Arabidopsis thaliana: one gene and its partner. The protein of the gene in region 1 interacts with the protein of each later gene in a biochemical or structural test. Each region holds a gene or a part of one and is shown on either strand. Other genes may lie near its edges.

Region 1 (11,061 bases):
GTGAGGGATCGTCTCTACCAAATGCAAGAGGATTGTCAACTAGGCCATCGTTTGCTTCAGATCGGCCAGTAGAGCCAGGAACCACAGGAACAGATGCCATTGATGTCTCAGGAGCCATGGTATAACCTCCATTTATTTCAGGAGAACAGTTTAGTGGACTATGATGATGCAAACCAACTAAACCTCCTGAAACGTCAGCATCAGATCTAAATAGTTGGAACCCAGGGGCTTCTGGAGTTTCAGAAGGAAATGACCAAAGGGGCGTATCAAATTCATCATCATCATTGAAAAGACCTAAGCCTGAACTTCCCCCAGCTATGCTGTGTGGGTCCTCATTATATGAGTTAATTATTCCAGGAGGGTTCAGTGGAAAAGTAAGTCCACCATCTGTTTGACAACCACTGTATGCAGGCCCTGGAGTGATCACTAAATCATTCTCGTCATCAGAATCACTCAGAACGATGACTTCATTATTTCCACCCTCGCCAGATTGGTTTCTGTCAGGAAAGTTATAACCTGAATCAACATTCATGGAAATGGAATCAAGTTCCATGCCGTTGGCTACAAAGTCAAAAGTTCCAATAGCATCCTGGTTTACGCTTGCATCATCACCATCCCTACCACTTCCAGTAGCACTACTACTCATTGGTATAATATTCTTCTCCTGATACCCAACCTTTTCTTGCCTATTACTGGAAGATAATCCATTTGTATTAGGTTTGCTAACTTCCCAAATGCCATTACGATTCTTCCTTATTCCAAGTTTTAGCGGGGCTGGACCATCTGAGTAACCTTCTTGCTTAACCGGTAACATTTCCATCTTCCGTTTAATATCAACAGCAGAGGGGCAAAGGCTACCATCAGGTGCATGCCACTGTGAGAGTTCCCCCAGTTCCCTTCGCTCACTCTCTCTTTTGAACTTTACACGCCAAGAACCATCAGGTTTCACTTCAATTTCAGTCACCTCTTCATCACAATGCTTCATCTGTCGTGCAGGAAGACAACTACTGAATAAAAGCGTAGATACAAAGATTTTAAGAATTCTTGAATTCCCATAAGAATACATACCTTAGACGTGATACGGTTAAAATAAGGATCGACGATTACATGCTCCACTGAGTAGTTCTTCAGACAAATAGGGCACTGCCACTGCATGTTAACAAACCCCAGAACAACTAAAGTCAGAAAACAAGAGACATAACCCAATATCTAGACAAGGATAGTAGACCTACCTTTCTGGAACGTTGATTCAACTCCACAAACACATCAAGGTCAAAACAGCCCATGTGCACACAGGGTAAAAATCTCCCAGCAACTTTTATCCTAGAACCGCTCATCTAATGACGCAAACAGAAAAGACAATAAAAAAAATTCAGTCTGCAAGATAGCCCTAGGAAGAGGATAAGTATAAAAACTGGGCTACGAGCTATTAGTAACTTACAGGACACCGAAGATTGACACCGAAGAAATCAGCAACAACTTCAATGTCACTATCACTGTCGGCATTATCATCTCCACCTCCACCTCCAATGCATCGGCGGACACGTGCAAGAGCATCTTCAAAAGTCTCCCCTTTACCCTCTTCTGGAATCAAATTTAGAACCTAGATGCAAAAATGAGTATATATATAAGCAACTTGGAGATCATTAGATCATTAACGTACAATATGAATTCCTCTGTATACAAGAACACCAACAAAAGTGATAAATATATTGATTAAAGGGATAAATGTTGCAGCACAAGGACAGACTACACTTCCGTAACCAAATCTCATACAAGGCCAGGCTCAGTGGCTCATATACGTGAAATATAGGAAGAAGAATAGGACTGTGAAATTTGAAATCTGACTAACTTTTCTAGATTTAGTGGGAGTGGGAAATAACATGGGAATAGTTTAACGTAAGTGTGTAACCACAGGTAACTTCCACAAAATTACTTTCTTGGGTACGCCAACATAATTTATTCTTTCTTTTTGTATTCAGAATATTAATTTCGTTCCTTTTTGAACATTTATGTTTGGACTCTTCATTGACCACATATACGACCAAATCTTTGAATGTTTCTTATGCATATATGTTATCAGTACCTGTTGTAGAGTCCTGCGCTTCACAAGTCTGACCCCAAAACAAAAAATCCGAACGTCACCTCCACTCAAGGATATTCTGTTAACTCCATCCCTAATACAAGATGTAATCTGCCAAAATAGTAAAATGAAATGGTTAAAACTTACATCACTGATTGCTAGATTTTCAATGTATGAGAGATTGACTCCTATATGTAATTCAAAAGGGTTACTACTCAAAAGGGATGATAAAAAACACACAATGGGTCCATCGTCGCGGCCGTTGACTCCCAAAAGCTGTCCTCCAGGTCGATTAATTGCACGTACAGGCACACCTATGAAATGATAGGGTATATATCATGAATCCCACATCAGAAACATACACAGTCTTATTGAGTATGATCAGAATAACAGACAAATAAAGACAATGTGAATGTGAATGGAATGTGCCCACAGGAATTTATGCAACATGAAATAAAACAACATTCCCCTGTTTCAAAGGAAATGCTCAACCGACTAAAACTCTGGTCGATGTCATTGTCATACCATTGACCTGCAGATCAGCATACTGAGGCCACTGCATCCTAAAGAGAACTTTATCATTCAAGAGCATACACCAAGCCTAAACAAAATTGATTTCCAGTTAGAAACGTATAGGTAGATACACCTTGACATATTAAATGTAGTTTACAAAACCCAACCTGAACATCGTACTCTGGTTTGGCCAAAAGGTCCTTGTCTGCCCTTGTGATTTGAAATGTTCTCTCCACACTCTGCATTGTGCTTGCACTGAAAAGTTTTGGATCGGAGTATTAGTACAAACAAAAGCCAGTAACAGTATTTCTTCAGCAGGTGCTATGCATATAGCCAGGAAACAATTGTCATTCTTGAAACTAGAATGAATGTCTTATACCAGTTCCAAGTAGAAAATTTAAAGTCAAAGTGACTTATAAAGTACCAATTCACACAATAATGGCACTGAAAGTACACTCGTTCAAAGCAATAGCAATATCAAGAATATAAAATTCTTACCCATCATTTGGGATAGTCGTTGCAGTCAGCCTCACTGGAGAGAGTGGATGTGCCACTGTAACCCAAAATCTGAACAAGGAAACCATGTAGGAAAACCGTGAATAATCATGCTATAGGATATCCACAGGTGCTAATGTAAAGATAGGAAATAATATATAAAAGAAAATTGACAACTATGAAAACAGTACTAGAAGAAGAAGAACAATCAAACGCAAAGAAACTAGAATGCAAAGCATGTCAAATGTATAAATATGTCTTTCTTTTCAGTTATGGCAGGAAAGAATCATAAAGCAGTGAGGGAGGAACTCAGATGGAAAATCAATCACATATCAAACTTAAACTCAGACAGGAAAAGTAAAATCCTTGAAACACATACGGGTCAGCTCGAGTAAGTCGGCAGATTTCACAATAAAATGATTCCGGAAGTGGTGGATTCCCATCCATAGGCTTATCTGGGAGAATAACACAGCCAACATGCTGCCAAACATGGCATCTTGGATCCTCACACTGAAATCGGAAGAAAAAAAACAAAAATTACAGCCAGAAAGTATCACCAAACTTCACAAATGTAATCAATGATAAATACATCACACCATCGACCATAAAATACAAAGAAATTGTCTACAGTCAGCTCAAACAGGAATAAACGCAGTGAGTTCATCCCAGATTACCTGTATCATTGAGTCTGTTTCTAGCGAGTTTCCACAAACACATCGAACTTTAATTTCTGGTTGGAAGGGGTCTTCAGGCTCTCCCTTAACTTTCAGATTACTGGTATCTGAACTCACTTGTCCTTTTGATGCTAAATCACTTGCCCCAGATACTTGCATTTTCCTATGGAACACAATATAAAATTAATGGTAACAAAGAACCGCCACAAAAAGCATGGCATCTCCTAAGAAATCTATTGAAAGAAACGAGCACTCACCTATATGTATCGTCCACTAATTTGGCAACTGCTTCCTTTGCCACTGTATTCTTTTTAGACAACAACCTGGCAGCTGTCAGTAGGGAATGAAAACGGAAGCTTATTAGAAGAAGATGGCAGAGCTAGCAGTGACTCTTAATACACCAAAACGTGAATAAACAAAAGCAAGTGGTTCATATAACCTTGTTCATCAGAAAGAAGGGTCAAGATCCGGTCGACAAGTTCCTGCACAAGAAAATTTCAAAAAGAAGTTAAATTTTTTGGTGAAAGAATAAAACAGATAACACTCTTTGCAAGGTAATGTCTTAGATTTATCTTGGAAACTGCTATATAGCTCAAGACAGCAATAATTATCACCCAAAACATCATCTTCTCTACTATAATCATTCCAAAACAATCACAAACATAATCACGACCAATGGAAGATTAGAGAACGATACTAACCTGCTTCTTTCCCTGTTTCGAAAGTCCCAGCTGAGTGAGCACATCCTTGAGCTCTTTTATCCGAAAATATGAAAGTTTTTCCTGCAACCCACAACAAAAACACAACGTTAAGCTTAACTAGAGCAAGACTAAATTCAATAACAGCAACCACGAACCATAATCCAAAACCCTTATGAGATAAAGGATCGTTTTTTACTCCCAGCAATACAATCTAGATCATAAACAAAACGGAAAAGCAAAGCTTTTTTGAAACATCCACTCTATATACCAATCAACACATTCATAACAAGTTCAAATCAACAAAAATTATAAACCAACAAGCATCCATAGATCTTTCAGACAATAATACCTTACAATTAGCTTCCAAATCCATGTCTTCAACACCAGACACAAACAAGAACCAAAAGCTCAGTTCAAAACACACGAACCTAAACTCCAGCAATTAGTCTCCATACAGCAACCGATCTAAATTAACAGAAAAAAAAGAAGGAGTTACTGAAACGAAAACCCTTGAAATTCCAAAAGACAAGACCTTTAAAGACTATTAAACGGAAAATACAAACCATGAAATCGGATACTTGATCAAACCCTATCGAAATTGATAGGTTAATGAGAGAATTGAGATGATTAGAAACTAGGGTTTTCACAGCTACGATAAGATTTTCTTTGGCCAAGGAAGAGGAAAATAAAAAGACAACCAAACCCAGACGAAGAAAAATCGATCCGCCGAGACGAAAACAAAACAAGGGTTGCCGGACGAGTCGCCGATTATCAAATCCGGTTTAATTTTCGCGCAATACGTCCGGGTTTAGTTCCTGTGTGGTCACGTGCACGGTCGTCCCCCCCACCAATATTGACGTGTTTTTGACTTTCGGTTCTCACACCACTTATTTACGACCGTAACGGAGTCTTTGTTATTTTAATCGAATATTCCCCACGTTTTATGACATCAGCCGTTCGATCAGACCGGACCGGTTTGTTATATTTTAACCTCAATTTGTTTATTTGCCGGTTTATAGTATATATCAAATCAATTTGGAAGTTTATCATCCGAAAACATGGTTTTCCATATGTCTCTCATGGCATATGTAGATATTGTATTATTTGATTCTAATTCTTCTAAGTAAGAATTTGGAAACATATTTCATGTCTCTTTTCTTCATTTGTTTTCATTGAATTGACATAGAATGTACATTGAATTGACATTTCTCACCCTCGCTAAATTCATTGAGAATTGTGGCTCAATTCTTCCATATGTGCATTATAGTTAAACTACGAATAAAGGATACAAGTGAGCAAAACCCTACTTTCAAGTTTCAACTAGTAAATCTATCGAATGGATTGCTAGACCGGATAATTCATACTCATTACGGGATGGTTCGTAAAACATGTGGGAAATTATCTTATATATCCACCAAATATTTGAGGTCTCGTAAGCATGTGATCTTGCAAATTGATACGTGGACCAAATTAGATATTGGACACATTTATATGTTCTTTCTATATGTAAAAAGCTTCATTCCGTGTGGAGTTCATTTGTTACAAGAAATGAGATATTATAGATATCAAATAGCATGAAGCTCTTTCTTCAACACTATTTCTACATACAAAAAAAAACATTATATACCAATTAGTGGTGGACTTCTGGTGATAAGATTTGGCTTTTTATCTTTTTGGATGCTGTGTTTTGAACAATGACTTGTCGAGTTTGAACCAAATTTGGTGTTAACCCGAGATATTAAAAAAAGGTTTAATTAGACCTATAGATTTTCCTTGTTCTGCTTAATGAAGATTCTAGAGTAGTCGTGAGCTGGTCTCATTGACTTGATATTTTTTTTGCTTCTAATGGAATGAGATATCTTGAGTTCATGATGTGGATAGTTTTCAAAGATTTGTCAACCTTTTCGTCTTAACATTTTTATATGTCCCTTGTCAAAGGCAAAGAAACATATCGAAAGTAAAAGAAAAGACATTTTTTTCTTGTGGGTGAGAATCAAACCAAACTTGTGAGAATTCTGCAAACGTACACAACTCTTAAATTGATAAAGCTTTTCTTGAAACTTTCAGGCTGAGGATGTGCTGCTAATCATGTGAGCTCCTTGCTGAGCTAACATTCAAAAGACCAAAACATATTTGAGCAAATAGCAAGAACCTATCTTGGAACAGATTATCATTTTAGGTAAGAGAAGACGATCTAGAGGCTCAAACCAAGGTCCTCTACGGAGCAGTTTCATTGTTTTTATGGTGTTACTATGTAAGTAGAAAGAGAATAGTTTATGAATATTAAGATGCATCTTTGTTAGAGGGTGATTATTGAACAACTGAAATACCTTGATCTCTCCGTATTAAGATGCATATATAAGGATTGCTACGTAGGAGAGATACCGTCACCACTAGTTAACTTCTTAGAAGAGGTGATGGCGCTATCTCTCCTGCGAAGCAAATCTTTATTTGCAGTTTTAAAACCATAGAAGAAGCAAGACCACTTGTATGTGTAATCACTCTATTAGTATCACCTCATCCATATATATATTATTACCTTAAGGTCAAAGAAGAGTGGACTTAATTTACACTGTCACTATCTTTGCTCTTAAATCATAATTGTCATTTAGTTTGCTGCTTTCTATGTGGCTACAATCAAATGATTATCAGGATTATTATCCCAAGTGAGGTCATGTTGTTAACGTCATCTCCAATGATTTGGCATTACCTTCATTTCCAAGAATTCACATTGATAAGTTTTTTTGTGTGTGTATATACTCTGTAGTTTATTTGAGCTCTTGATTTTGCATCTATACACAGATGCTACATATGTTCATGAACATAGATAGTGGAGAAAATTTTGGTACTTATCCATAACTAGTCCTTTGTGACCCATGTTACATATGTTGGTACTATGTCTCAAAAGCAATGACTTATCCATAACTAGTCCCTTGTATAATGTTGGTACTATGTACTATGAACAGCTCCTGGATTGTCACTTTGTAGCAAGTAGATTCTTGTAACACTCAACCATACCAACTAGCATATAATATTCTAATTATAGGCATAAATCTCAACAAAACACTTTTGACTGCTAGTTTTTAGTCTTTTTGGAGACCAAATTTCATTGTTAAGATTTGATCAAAAGGTATTATTCAAGTTATATGCAAATCATTGCAAGATTTGTTCCAATAATCATCAATTCCAAAAGTAAATGCCTTTGTCTCATTGTTACCATGTAATAAATGGTGAAAGTGATGTTAAATCTTGCATCACTGTTTTTAAGGGTCTGCTTAATACAGAAGTTTAGGTGGGAATTACTTTAATGAGCAAGTTGGTTCAAAAAACAAGTTGACAAGACTTGATATGAATGATTTAGCAGATGAGAGGCTGCATTTATTCTTGCTGAAAAAGAATAAAACTGAAAAGCCCTTATTGTCCTCGTCATACTTTTATCAATCCAACTGAGGAAAAAAAAAGAACAGTCCAAATTAGCTAGAGTTGTCTTTATTATCATGCGGAGGAAAAAAGGTAAAGTGAAACCAAAATTTATTTTCACTATAACACAAAGATCATATTCAGAACTATTTTCTTTTTAATTCACTCACAGACGGTACTTTTCTATAAAGTTTGATTAATGCATTTTAATAGTAGAAGAAGAAGAGACCATACCTAATACCTACTACTCTCAAATGCACAACACACCACAGGACAAAAAAATCTTTCTCTCATATTAATTACATGGTACCATTATATATCTATACTCTCTTTAACCCATTACCAATTCAAGATCTTGTCTTTTTTTTTCTTCTTAAAAACAAGATCCAAATTTCTGAAAAATCCATTCACTACAAAGAAAGAAATGCTGTCTACAACTCTTAGTGGTAACTATGGCTTCCCTCTGTGCATCTCTGGGATCACTCAGCAATTAAGTCTGTCCAAAGAGTAATATTTCTCTGTTTCACTTATGCTCTCTGTCTTGAGATCTTCTCTGTTTATTTGACTTGTCTCTTTTTCTCTCTCTCTGTGGATGTTGAAGAATGGCAGATCATGACAAGAGAAGGAAGGTGATACAGAGGAGAAGGAGATCAGAAGGTAAACATGAGTACAAGAGCCATGGTGAAGAAGATGTGGAGAGGCTTCAAGAGAATGAAGATGTTAGAGATCTAGTTGCTTTACTACAAGATCTAGGCTTGTGGAGCTTTTCTTCTCACACAGCCAAAGCTGCTTAGTGTTTTTACTTTTATTACAAGATGTTGTAGGTTTGTGGAGCTTTTCTTCCCCACACAGCAAAAGCTGCTGCTTAGTGTTTAAGAAATCCAAAAGCCTTTTCATTATTAGATCTCACTGAGTTTATGTTTCTTGTAGAACTGCAGATCACAGAATCTTTAGCTGGAAAGCATTTTAAGTTATTCGGGATGTTTTTCATTGTTGTTGTTGACACGTTTATTTGTCGTTGGTGAGATGTTTTTACTGCATCTTTTGGCCTTATCCATTTCTTTTGGTTTTTAGTTCTCAGCATTTTTTATTGATAAATTACTATTTCTGTTTGTTGATTGAGAACCTAAGTCTTTTTAAAAAGTTCGTATGAAGTAATTGTCAGAAAACACTAAGCACAAGTTAATTCTAACGAAACTATAGAACCCTATCTCTTACATAGATCTTAAAACGCTAAGTATGGTTGGGTTGATCTCTGAATGATTGTTTAAACAAGAACAAAGAAAGACAGCAACTTTGTAACACAACTCCTAAATAAGTTTCAAGCAAAATTATCCGGAAACTGCATAATTGAAAACCATAATAAAAAGTCTCAGAGATATCCAAAAAGGAGGGAGAGAGAAAGTCACAGAAATAAAGAGAAAAAAGAAAAAGGCTCAAACGCCATCAAAGTTTTAAGAACCAAAGAAAACCATAAGAGAGTCGATCATAACGAAAGTCTCATCATTTGGCACCCTTCTTCACTGCAGCCTTGGTGACCTTGGCTCCAGTTGGGTCCTTCTTGTCCACGCTCTTAATAACACCAACAGCAACGGTCTGCCTCATGTCCCTAACAGCGAAACGTCCCAAAGGTGGGTACTCGGAGAAAGTCTCAACAACCATGGGCTTGGTTGGGGTCATCTTAACCATACCAGCGTCACCATTCTTCAAAAACTTGGGCTCCTTCTCAATCTCCTTACCAGAACGCCTGTCAATCTTGGTCAAGATCTCAGAGAACTTGACTGCAATGTGAGAGGTGTGGCAATCGAGAACTGGGGCGTAACCGTTACCAATCTGACCAGGGTGGTTCATGATGATGACCTGGGAGGTGAAGTTGGCGGCACCCTTAGCTGGATCATCCTTGGAGTTAGAGGCAACGTATCCTCTCTTAAGATCCTTGACAGCAACATTCTTGACATTGAATCCAACATTGTCACCGGGAAGTGCCTCAAGAAGAGACTCGTGGTGCATCTCAACAGACTTAACCTCAGTGGTCAACCCTGTGGGAGCAAAGGTAACAACCATACCAGGCTTGATCATACCAGTCTCAACACGTCCCACTGGCACCGTTCCAATACCACCAATCTTGTAGACATCCTGAAGTGGAAGACGAAGGGGCTTGTCTGATGGCCTCTTGGGCTCGTTGATCTGGTCAAGAGCCTCAAGAAGAGTTGGTCCCTTGTACCAGTCAAGGTTGGTTGACCTCTCAATCATGTTGTCTCCCTCGAATCCAGAGATTGGCACAAATGGGATTTTGTCAGGGTTGTATCCGACCTTCTTCAGGTATGAAGACACCTCCTTGATGATTTCATCGTACCTAGCCTTGGAGTATTTGGGGGTGGTGGCATCCATCTGTTAGGCGAAAATAGAAAAAGACGCAAGTTAGCAACAAATAAAACGAATCAATCAATCACAAAAGCAGATACAATGATGAATACGAAAGTTATATTACCTTGTTACAACAGCAAATCATCTGCTTGACACCAAGGGTGAAAGCAAGAAGAGCGTGCTCACGGGTCTGACCATCCTTAGAGATACCAGCCTCAAAACCTCCAGTGGTGGAGTCAATGATAAGAACAGCACAATCAGCCTGGGAGGTACCAGTAATCATGTTCTTGATGAAATCACGATGTCCTGGGGCATCAATGACTGTGCAGTAGTACTTGGTGGTCTCGAACTTCCATAGAGCAATATCGATGGTAATACCACGCTCACGCTCGGCCTTAAGTTTGTCCAACACCCATGCGTACTTGAAGGACCTCTTGTTCATCTCAGCAGCCTCCTTCTCGAACCTCTCGATGACACGCTTGTCAATACCACCAAGCTTATAGATCAAGTGACCAGTTGTGGTCGATTTTCCAGAATCAACATGACCAATGACCACAATGTTAATGTGAAACTTCTCTTTACCCATAGCTGTCAAAACAAAAACAAAAATCGAAACATCAGAATCAACAAAAATACATCAACCATCAACTATACAACAACCAAAACGTCAACAATATAATCAAACACAGATCCACTGAAACAAAACCACATATCACCAGTTGAGCTATCATATCAAACCACGAGACAACAGGTATATCAAATCTAAGGAACATCACCAACCAAATACATCAGAATCAACTATAACCAG
Region 2 (11,061 bases), on another chromosome or scaffold:
AGCTCAATCTCATTCTCCAAACCTTCGTCTCTTTCTTTTCGATTCCAAAACTAACCCTAAGATCCACTGCAAAAGCCTCAATGTATCAACCATCGTCGGAAAATCTCAACTTCTCGTCACATGGATCAACGAAGAAGATGAAGAAGCTGCAAGCAAAGAAGAGATTGTTTCTCTTCTAGTTCCTATCCCTAGGGTCTTACTAGATACTGAATCTCCTGTAAATTTCAAAGCTTTAGACGATCACATCGAGGTTAGACTTGTTCTGTTACTCCCTGTTGATCATCCTTTAGTCTCAGACTTCAATTTGGTGACTGATTCTAGAGAAAAGTCGGCGCCTTTAGTGATGGGTTATGATCTAAAGACTCTATCTTTAATGGGAGGAGTTCATTTTTACTGTAGAAGTTGTTCAAATAGGTTAACAAAGAAGGAACTTTTAGATTTCTCAGAAATGCCGTCTATTAATTGGAGAGAATCAGCTGATAATTGGTTTGGTACTTGTTGTTGTTCATTTGGTGGAATTAGTGAGAAGATGGTTGTTAAGTACACGAATTCGTATACTTGCTCTAGTGGGTTGTGTTTACTTAGTGCTACTACTGTGTTGCTTAGCAAAGATGATCTTGTAGAGTGTATCTTGTCTGAGAAAGGTGGAACTGAAGTCGAATTTGAGTCGAGTTTAGCTTTGAGTTGTGATGTTGGTGTAGTTGAACCGGGTTCTAGAATTAGTGAAGGAAATGCTGAGAGTCATGAGAGTGGAGGTGAGAATGTTTGTGGTCAAGTGGATGAATCGAAGACGCGTTGTATAGATAAGGCATCACTACCTGGATGTTGTGTACATGACTCGCCTGACTCTAATGAGAGTGTTCAGCTGGAGGAGAAGAAACTTACACTTGATAAGAAGTTTCTTCTTGATGGGTTTCTTGAGGATGTTTTTATGGCGAAAGCGTCAAATGTGTCAAAGAATGTCGAGTGGATTGAATTTGCTTGCCCTGAGTGTTCCTCTCCTCTTGGAGCCTATCCTTCTGGTGTTGGGAGCAACGGTAAACCCATTGATGGTGGAGTTAGACTCTTCAAATGCTATATTTCCACATCATCGACGACGGGTGAATCCTCTGACGTTTTCAGGAAATACACATTGGAAAGAATGTTTACGAATCAGCTAGTGGAATGCTCCAAAGAGGAGTTATCATTTCACGTGTTGGTCAAAGATTTGACAACTAAATCACCTCTGTTCAACATCGTTATTTTGAATCCAAACACATTTTCCTCGACTGGTCTTTGCTCGAGCCAAGATGAACCAGGTTCCGCATTAGAGTTAAGCGCTATTGTGAAGGTTCTGTTTTCTGATTGCAACAGCTCGGTAGTGAAGAAGATTGATGAAGAAGTATACATTTTGAAGGGACAAGGAGAGGAGTTGATAGAGTTAATAACGAATGCAAGCAAATTTCTTCCATCTTCGTGTTCATATCTTCAAGGCGCACTTGTCTCATCGATGCATCTATGATAATGAATCTTTTCTTCACCTTTTTCTGAGTTTATTTGTGACTCAGTTTTTTTACTTGTTTAGTAACAACATTTACCTTTTGGTTTAGTTATGGTTATTGACGTTGTTCTAACTTGTATTAAAATATTTGGTTTTTCAATTGAATGAAAGGAATATTTCTTCTCACATTATCTTTATTCAAGATTCAAAGTTTGAAATAATAACTGATATTGGACCTAGGATCTAAAGCCACCTCATTTGCTAATTAATGATACGAGCAAAAGCCTAAGACTTAAATCTAGTGATATGGTAATATGCAGTACCCGTGATTTAAGCAAAACCTTCCCTTTGACCCAAGTGTCTCTTAGAGAGAATTACGTTAATTGTTGTAGATTTTTTCTTTATTAATCATAAGAGGTCTTTATATAGACCTTGGTGAAACTAAGGTAAATAGGAATATCACCAACCCTAAACCTAATGTCAAAAAGAAATACGTAATTGTTTTAAAATTAAAATTGCAAGACACGTAATTGATTTCAAATTTTCTTCAATTATATAAGGGTTGTGAAAAAATTCTCTAAGTCACTCATTTTTGCAATTTTATTTTTCACGTCAAAAAATGCAAAATAATCCTATGAAATCTAAAATAATACGCAATAAATCTCATTTTTGCATCTTTTGCACATATTGTAAGCGTTTTCACAATTATATACATTTGTTTTTAAAAATTCTAAAAATATAGTTGAACTCTCCATATCGAGACTTTTGATTTGATATATTACTTATCAAAATTTTAAAATTTGACAACAATGAAAAAGGGATATATTATGTATATATATATATATTTTTTAATATATGGAAGTTCAAGCCCAAAGACCATACATCTCCAGATATTTTAGATATGTCTGAGCCCGGGTTCGAACCGGGGACCTCTAGTGTGTGAGACTAGCGTGATAACCGACTACACCACCCAGACTTTGATGGGTATATTGTGTATTATTTTTTCCTTTATATGATTATTTTGTATTTTTTGAACATGAATAATAAAGTTGCAAATATGAACGACTTTCATGTTTGTTTTGCACAAAATAGTTAGAGATATGATATGTGATTTTGGTGTTTTCTTAATTAGTTGACATATTTATAACTATCATCGTTAACATCTACTTTGTCTATGTCTTCACCGTCACTTCCACCTCCATTATCTCTGTTGTCATCAAGTATGTCGTTGTCTCCAATATTTTCTTCCGATTCTTCTCTATTTATATTGTGCCGAAATCGATATGCCAAAATAAAATCTTCATAGCTGTTAACACTAATTATAGACAATTAATATGATCAATTAAGATGAAGAAAGATGGAGCTATTTTCATTTGAATGACGCATGTAAGAACCTTAGTTTTAAACCACACAAGATTTTCAAAATTGAATAATTTTTCATAGCGAATGATATCGCAAAAAAAAAAAAAAAATTGGATAAGCTAAAATGACTACTCTAATCCAAAAAAATTCCGGCTATTACATACAACAAAGTTGTTTAATTTTCTAATAAAACATTTGGTCAAATCCCTAGTTAAAAGGAATAACAATTAATTGATATACTAACACAACAATTAGTAGAGTACTTTGCTTTGAAATGGTCATATATTCAAGTCTTTTCTATCTCTCATATGCATTCTTTGTACAATCGAAATACACAAAATTTTGTTTAACACTGTACTCTGGAAATGATCAACATATCTTGAGCTTTATCATTTGTTTTCATACTTTATTAAATGAAATGGGTAAGAACAGACGAAGTGTTAACCATTTTTTTATTTCAAACTTCAAAAAGCCTAACTTTAACGTATGTGTTTCTCCTCTGTCTTTTGCATATACATTTCTCTCTTTAATCTAACAATTGAATTTACGAGGTTTAACACCTTGATCTAGCTACCAATATGATCTAATATTCCAAGCTTATTAGTTTCCTCATAGGGATCACATACGAAATACAAACAAAGGCCTATAATATACTCATATATTTCATTTTAGTTTTATCATATAAGTTTTATATTCATTTTAGTCAATAAAGTCCATAAATAACTTTGGCTATTTTTTAATTGTCTAAGCTCACAAAAACGTTTACATTATTTTAAAAATATTTTTACTTAAATTATTTATTTTGGTACAGTCTAAATCTTGTTTTGTCAGATTAGGCCTCTTGTTTCTATAATGCATATTTCTCTTTTTCTTTTTCGTCGAATACATATCTCGTCGAATGCATATCAGGTTAGGCCTTGTAGTTATTATTGCTGGTGGAGATGGTCAACAGAAAAGTCAACAAGGAGAAGAAGATAATGGTTTGGGCTGAGAAGTATTTTGGGCCATCGGTTTTGGTTAAAGCCCAATAAAGAAATGTTTGCTTAGTTTTATTATAACTAAGTTAAGTTAGAAGAAGAAAATATTGTTGGGGTTGTTAGAAGTGTAAGAGACTGGGATTAACTTTTGCTTATAAACTTCGACTACAATCTAGTGATGATCATGCCTACAAAGAATAGTTAATCTATAGAGTTGTAAGTTTGTGGGTGAGAGTAATAACTTAACGATGATCATGCATTTTTTTGAACATTTTTTTATGCGTAGACAAACCTATGGTCTTCCAATTTTATACAATTGAATTTTCTTTGGCGTAGAAAATTTAGTGTGGATGGCATGCACATGTTAAGACATTTCATGTCTTTAACAGAAAATTAACTGATATTTTAAACTATATTTGGATATGATGCTAGTCGAACTAAAGACAACCGGACCACCGTCAATAACATCGTTAAGTAGATTTTGTTTTTCGAATTACATAGTTTTTCTTTAAACATCAAAACTGGAAAGAAATTAATATACATATATCGAACTCTATTACTTTCTTTCAAAATTTTCAACCCCAAACCTTAGGGAAAACCAAAAAAATAATTTCTTTAAATTTGAACTTATATATGAAAAGCAAATTAAGTGGTTCTACTTTTCTACCTAGTGATCTCAGTTTTAATAAACTTAACATTGCGGTGATTGTAATGGATCGAAACAAAAAATAATAATGATTTCTCAAATCGAAGTTGAAGAGCACTCCGAAGATTCTACCCCAAATTTTGAAGAACATTGAGTTGCTAGTTGATTCAGCACATTCACCAAATTGCTACCAAATGAAGGATATATCGACTACTTGGAAATAAGTTTTCCTTGCACACTAACCATTACCATTTAATTTGATGGAGTTAAAAATAAGCTTTAAGTTGTTCATATTCATCTTTAAAAAATTTCTAATGAGTAAGTTTATTTTGTTCAAGCCATGCTGGATTTATTGAAAACAAAGAGACTATTTTCATATATTTGCAAAGAAACAATATATTGAAACTGGTGAAATAGATACGTCATCCATTTCATCAAAGATCAATCTTCAAGATTCCTATGTGTATTATAGTAGCTTTAAAATAAAGTAAAACTAATATTGAATTATAATTCTTGGGAAGTGTTTATTATTGAAAATCAAATCATGTATAGCTACAGTAAATAAAAAGAAGTAGATAGAAAGAAAGAAAATGCAGTATAAATTTTTAATCTGTGTGAAATGAAAATTTGCAAAATCAATATTCATGAAACGGATAAAATGCACTACCGTACTTGATGCATAAATAAAAAATGGCTGTTTGTACCAATCCACATGTATTATATGCGTTTAACTAGGATTACCAATATTTTTGACCTCTATCCAATTCACCTTCTGCTCTTTTTGTTCTATCTAATTCCACATTCTACCCAATTTACCAAATTCAATTATTATATGTAATTACAATTTAAAATCAATAATTCATGTTTACTATTTCGCGATTAGAGTAAATCCGAGTTTAAAACCTTCCCAACAACATGTCAAAAACACTTTGAAAGCTTGGCCGAGTCTTAAAAAGTTTGACCGAGTCTTAAATTCAGATTTACTCAAATTTCGAAACAATAAACGCGAATTATTGATTATAAATTACAACTACAGAAATAAATGGAAATTGGTTATTTAGGTAGAATTTTATAGTTTGTATGAAATTAGAAAGAAGATAAAAAATACATAATGAATTGGGCTGAGGTCTACTACATAGTGATCCTAATTGAACCCATATAGTATGGGTGGACTGCAACAAACAGCCCATAAAAAAAAAAAAATTCAATGTTTATTAAAACCTTTAAATGAAGGAAACTAAGATAGATAGCCGGAGAACACGTTTAAATCTCCGGAATCTTAGCCGGTAGAAAAACAAATTCTCTAATAATAAAGCATAAACCAAAACTATATAAGCAAAAAGCCAATTTAAGGCACAAAGCCACAATTGAAACTAACAAAACTTTTTAGAAAATGAATCCCTAATTACTTCCTCTAGAAGACTAGAAAGCATATCGCAACACAACTATATTTTTTTGGGAACTCAATTTAGTTGATAATGGTGATAAACGCTACAATCATCAGAAAATTTGGAATTACTCGTCCTTACTTAATTAATGTTTAAAAGACTTATGAAATTAAACTATTTACTTACAAACTTGAGCTTGATGTGGCTTTGTTCAAGAAGCTTAGGAACCATCGAAAAGATGTCGACGCCGGTAAAGTCGAGATATGCGTTACAACATAATTATTTATAATTTTTTAAAAAAATACAAAAAATAAAAGGAAATATATTTAATAGTAAGAATATAAAATAAATTTTATTACCATCTTTTGAAAAAGAACTTTTAAGTACATAACAATAATTAGGTAATAATATGAGTTAAAGAAATGCATGGAAGACACGCGTTGCATGAATGATGCTAATTACACTTTGAAATTATCATCATCATCATTAACTTACTTAAACACTGTCTATATAAAGACAGAGACAGTGACAACAGAGACAGAGAGATAAGCTTAAGCCAAAATTAAGCAGAAAAATGGAGAAATAGTGACGGTGAGAGAGAGAGAGATACGGTAAACGAAGCAAAGCAAAGAGAGTCACGAGAAATCTGGGGTATGTGTTCAATGATAAAGCAATTTCATGGTGGCCGAAATTGAATCCATCAAAAAAAAAGTTTCAATTTTTGAAAGCTCTGAGAAATGAATCTATCATTCTCTCTCTCTATCTCTATCTTCCTTTTCAGATTTCGCTTCTTCAATTCATGAAATCCTCGTGATTCTACTTTAATGCTTCTCTTTTTTTACTTTTCCAAGTCTCTGAATATTCAAAGTATATATCTTTTGTTTTCAAACTTTTGCAGAATTGTCTTCAAGCTTCCAAATTTCAGTTAAAGGTCTCAACTTTGCAGAATTTTCCTCTAAAGGTTCAGACTTTGGGGTAAAGGTGTCAACTTTGGCGATGGGTCTTGACGGAAACAATGGTGGAGGGGTTTGGTTAAACGGTGGTGGTGGAGAAAGGGAAGAGAACGAGGAAGGTTCATGGGGAAGGAATCAAGAAGATGGTTCTTCTCAGTTTAAGCCTATGCTTGAAGGTGATTGGTTTAGTAGTAACCAACCACATCCACAAGATCTTCAGATGTTACAGAATCAGCCAGATTTCAGATACTTTGGTGGTTTTCCTTTTAACCCTAATGATAATCTTCTTCTTCAACACTCTATTGATTCTTCTTCTTCTTGTTCTCCTTCTCAAGCTTTTAGTCTTGACCCTTCTCAGCAAAATCAGTTCTTGTCAACTAACAACAACAAGGGTTGTCTTCTCAATGTTCCTTCTTCTGCAAACCCTTTTGATAATGCTTTTGAGTTTGGCTCTGAATCTGGTTTTCTTAACCAAATCCATGCTCCTATTTCGATGGGGTTTGGTTCTTTGACACAATTGGGGAACAGGGATTTGAGTTCTGTTCCTGATTTCTTGTCTGCTCGGTCACTTCTTGCGCCGGAAAGCAACAACAACAACACAATGTTGTGTGGTGGTTTCACAGCTCCGTTGGAGTTGGAAGGTTTTGGTAGTCCTGCTAATGGTGGTTTTGTTGGGAACAGAGCGAAAGTTCTGAAGCCTTTAGAGGTGTTAGCATCGTCTGGTGCACAGCCTACTCTGTTCCAGAAACGTGCAGCTATGCGTCAGAGCTCTGGAAGCAAAATGGGAAATTCGGAGAGTTCGGGAATGAGGAGGTTTAGTGATGATGGAGATATGGATGAGACTGGGATTGAGGTTTCTGGGTTGAACTATGAGTCTGATGAGATAAATGAGAGCGGTAAAGCGGCTGAGAGTGTTCAGATTGGAGGAGGAGGAAAGGGTAAGAAGAAAGGTATGCCTGCTAAGAATCTGATGGCTGAGAGGAGAAGGAGGAAGAAGCTTAATGATAGGCTTTATATGCTTAGATCAGTTGTCCCCAAGATCAGCAAAGTAAACACTTACTTTGTCTCTTTTATCTCCTTAAGAGCTTGTTTACTTGTTGCTGTTATAGAGAATTGTTGTGTTGTAGCTTTGTAGGGCCTTTGTTGTTGTCAAACTTTGCATGTAGTTGCTTTACTCTTTTGAGGAAGAGGCTCGTGATAGTGTTTTATGGATTTTCGATGAATTTGCAGATGGATAGAGCATCAATACTTGGAGATGCAATTGATTATCTGAAGGAACTTCTACAAAGGATCAATGATCTTCACAATGAACTTGAGTCAACTCCTCCTGGATCTTTGCCTCCAACTTCATCAAGCTTCCATCCGTTGACACCTACACCGCAAACTCTTTCTTGTCGTGTCAAGGAAGAGTTGTGTCCCTCTTCTTTACCAAGTCCTAAAGGCCAGCAAGCTAGAGTAAGGACTATATTCTGTATAACTTTTGCTTAGACTGGAAAGAAGAAAACAAAGATTCATGTTTGAGAGATTACTCTGCTTCTTTTTCACAGGTTGAGGTTAGATTAAGGGAAGGAAGAGCAGTGAACATTCATATGTTCTGTGGTCGTAGACCGGGTCTGTTGCTCGCTACCATGAAAGCTTTGGATAATCTTGGATTGGATGTTCAGCAAGCTGTGATCAGCTGTTTTAATGGGTTTGCCTTGGATGTTTTCCGCGCTGAGGTGATCTTCTACTCTCAGTTGAAAGGTTAAGGATTTGTAGAACAGTTTTAGTAGTAACATGTTTTCTTTTGTCTATCAGCAATGCCAAGAAGGACAAGAGATACTGCCTGATCAAATCAAAGCAGTGCTTTTCGATACAGCAGGGTATGCTGGTATGATCTGATCTGATCCTGACTTCGAGTCCATTAAGCATCTGTTGAAGCAGAGCTAGAAGAACTAAGTCCCTTTAAATCTGCAATTTTCTTCTCAACTTTTTTTCTTATGTCATAACTTCAATCTAAGCATGTAATGCAATTGCAAATGAGAGTTGTTTTTAAATTAAGCTTTTGAGAACTTGAGGTTGTTGTTGTTGGATACATAACTTCAACCTTTTATTAGCAATGTTAACTTCCATTTATGTTTCATCTTAAAGCTATGCTCAAGAATTTTTTTTAAAGTCTTCATCTTTGTTCATGAGTGAACTTCTCAAAGAAGACAGACAAAACATTTGCACATATACAGACAAAACAGTTATGTTAAAGGTATAGCTTTGGTATTAGCTGATGAAATGAGCTTTGATGATGTAAGAGTGAAGAAAAACATTGAGATTTTTAAGAAAAAACAGAGAAAAGAATGGTGAAGGAAGAGGCAGAGCAAAGAATAGACCCTACCATTTTGTTTGTTTTCTTCTTTAAATGCTTACTTAATGTTTTAAGAACTTTTATATACGTTGTATGTATCCGTACAAAAGAAAGATTTAGAGAGATAGAGAGGAGACATAGTTAATGGCGGTTAGAGATAGAAAGAGAGAGTCACGAGAACGTAGAGGATGTGATGAAGAAACGTAAAAGTGGTAGGTCCTTTGAATCTTTTAAAAACCTAACCTTTTTTATAGGGTTTTAATTTAGCTTCTCTGAATTTTTCTATGATTATAATGCATGTAGTAATGAAGTCCTCGTGATTCTAGTTTTTAGTGATGTCCTCTTGATGATCCAAGCCGTTTGGTACTTCTTTTTTTTTGTTTTTCTAAATGTTTTCTCTGTGAAAGTCTCTCTCTTAAGAAGGATTCAAACCTTTCAGTTTTTACTTCAGTAAAAAAAAACTACTCCATTTTCTACTGAATCATCTTTTCTCCACACGATCCCCAAGAGTCCAAGCATTACAAGTCCATGATAGGATTAGGAGGAAGAAGCTCAATGATAGGCTTTATTTTTCTTGCTCGTTAATTGTTGTTATGTGAGAAGTGATATTTTGATATGAAAAAATGTGCCAAAATGCTACATATTTTCATCTTATTAAACATTCTTACCAATACCAAAAAAAATCAAAAAGTTTCATTGGATTAGACGATTAGTTTAGGTCTAACTTGGGTATTCAAATATCAAACATGTATTCATTCATCTACAAAATTAAAAATTGTCTAGTCATAAGTACATAACATTGGATTTTGGTCGCCTTTGATCACTCTCACTTCATTTCATGTCTTTACATTCGCTTCTAACTCAAGATTCCATTTTCAACTCCTGGTCAGATGCTTGACTGTTCTTGTTTACGCTTTCGCCATGTCGGTATAGAAAATCTCTAGAACCTTGAGAATTTTGGTTTATACGGGACATGGGAGAAGCGCATATACAAATGGTCAAGCCTCTGACCAGAAGCTGGAAGATGAGATTCTTGCATTAGCGGTAAATATAAAAAATGAGAATGATAAAATGAGTGATTAGAGGGGAGGAGCATCCATATGATAAAAAAAGAAGAAGATTTCTATTATGATGGGCCTTGAACCTCCCATTTACCCTATCAAAAGTAGAACATTTTTCACAGCAAAAAAAAAAGGTTTAATGCGAAAACACCACCTTTGTATTCACACTCAACAAGTCTACGAGGGACAAAAACTCATTTCCATAAGGTTAATAAATAAGAGATTACTATTCTACGAGATATGAAAATTTGGATTTCTAAAAGATAAAACAAAAAGCAGGAGAGAAAACCTGTCCATATCATCACTTCAAAGACAGTTTTGAAAAAATGGTAAGCAACAGAAAGGGAGATGAGAGAAAGGATTTTTTCTTTTAGTTTATAGAATGAATAAAATATATTTGATATGTAAGTGTGAAGAAGAACTAAAACAAAAACCTCAATTTATAGCATTTTGGAATTATCTTGACGTTAATTCCAAGGTGAACATTTACCGTTGGATCAAAATCTTCTAATCTATGTCGTTCAGGTTTCGAGGTTCTTAAAACATGTTTTTTTTTACAGTCAACGTTTCTCATTTATTATATTTTATACTATCTAATATTATCTTTCTAAAATAATTTTCATTAAATATTTTTACTATTTTGATATTATTTTCAAGAACATCTATCGTTAGATCAAAATCTTCTAATATATGCCGTTCACTTTTCAAGGTTCTTAAAACATATAGATTTGTTTCTTATTTGTTTTTGTGGTCAATATTTTTGTATTTATTGTTTCTTATATTACTATATATTTATTATTATTTCTACCAAATTGACGTGATTTTCGAGGTGAATATCTACCGTTAGATCAAAGTC

The links.
Region 2: of the proteins of SIZ1 (region 1) and ICE1, one has a biochemical effect on the other in vitro, tested with the Arabidopsis thaliana proteins (one study listed by BioGRID).

Annotation. Positions count from the first base shown.
Region 1 is NC_003076.8:24,289,004-24,300,064, reverse strand, and holds the start of SIZ1 (DNA-binding protein with MIZ/SP-RING zinc finger, PHD-finger and SAP domain-containing protein), read right to left. Parts: upstream 5,305-11,061; 5' UTR 5,030-5,304; intron 4,932-5,029; 5' UTR 4,840-4,931; coding exon 4,816-4,839; intron 4,548-4,815; coding exon 4,467-4,547; intron 4,248-4,466; coding exon 4,205-4,247; intron 4,096-4,204; coding exon 4,023-4,095; intron 3,929-4,022; coding exon 3,766-3,928; intron 3,602-3,765; coding exon 3,471-3,601; intron 3,164-3,470; coding exon 3,095-3,163; intron 2,852-3,094; coding exon 2,764-2,851; intron 2,685-2,763; coding exon 2,609-2,684; intron 2,398-2,608; coding exon 2,324-2,397; intron 2,195-2,323; coding exon 2,087-2,194; intron 1,604-2,086; coding exon 1,442-1,603; intron 1,338-1,441; coding exon 1,233-1,337; intron 1,150-1,232; coding exon 1,069-1,149; intron 986-1,068; coding exon 1-985. Other genes in the region: AT5G60400 (uncharacterized protein), read left to right, coding at 8,311-8,393, 8,488-8,680; AT5G60390 (GTP binding Elongation factor Tu family protein), read right to left, coding at 9,390-10,277, 10,378-10,839. UniProt on the Arabidopsis thaliana protein: E3 SUMO protein ligase involved in regulation processes. Mediates SUMO/ attachment to PHR1, a MYB transcriptional activator controlling the phosphate deficiency responses.
Region 2 is NC_003074.8:9,830,579-9,841,639, reverse strand, and holds ICE1 (basic helix-loop-helix (bHLH) DNA-binding superfamily protein), read left to right. Parts: upstream 1-6,367; 5' UTR 6,368-6,504; exon of another isoform or gene 6,505-6,751; 5' UTR 6,752-6,849; coding exon 6,850-7,854; coding exon of another isoform or gene 7,855-7,941; exon of another isoform or gene 7,942-8,036; coding exon 8,037-8,261; intron 8,262-8,353; coding exon 8,354-8,524; coding exon of another isoform or gene 8,525-8,554; exon of another isoform or gene 8,555-8,603; coding exon 8,604-8,687; 3' UTR 8,688-8,973; downstream 8,974-11,061. Other genes in the region: AT3G26750 (HECT-like ubiquitin-conjugating enzyme (E2)-binding protein), read left to right, coding at 1-1,501; AT3G26742 (uncharacterized protein), read right to left, coding at 10,085-10,240.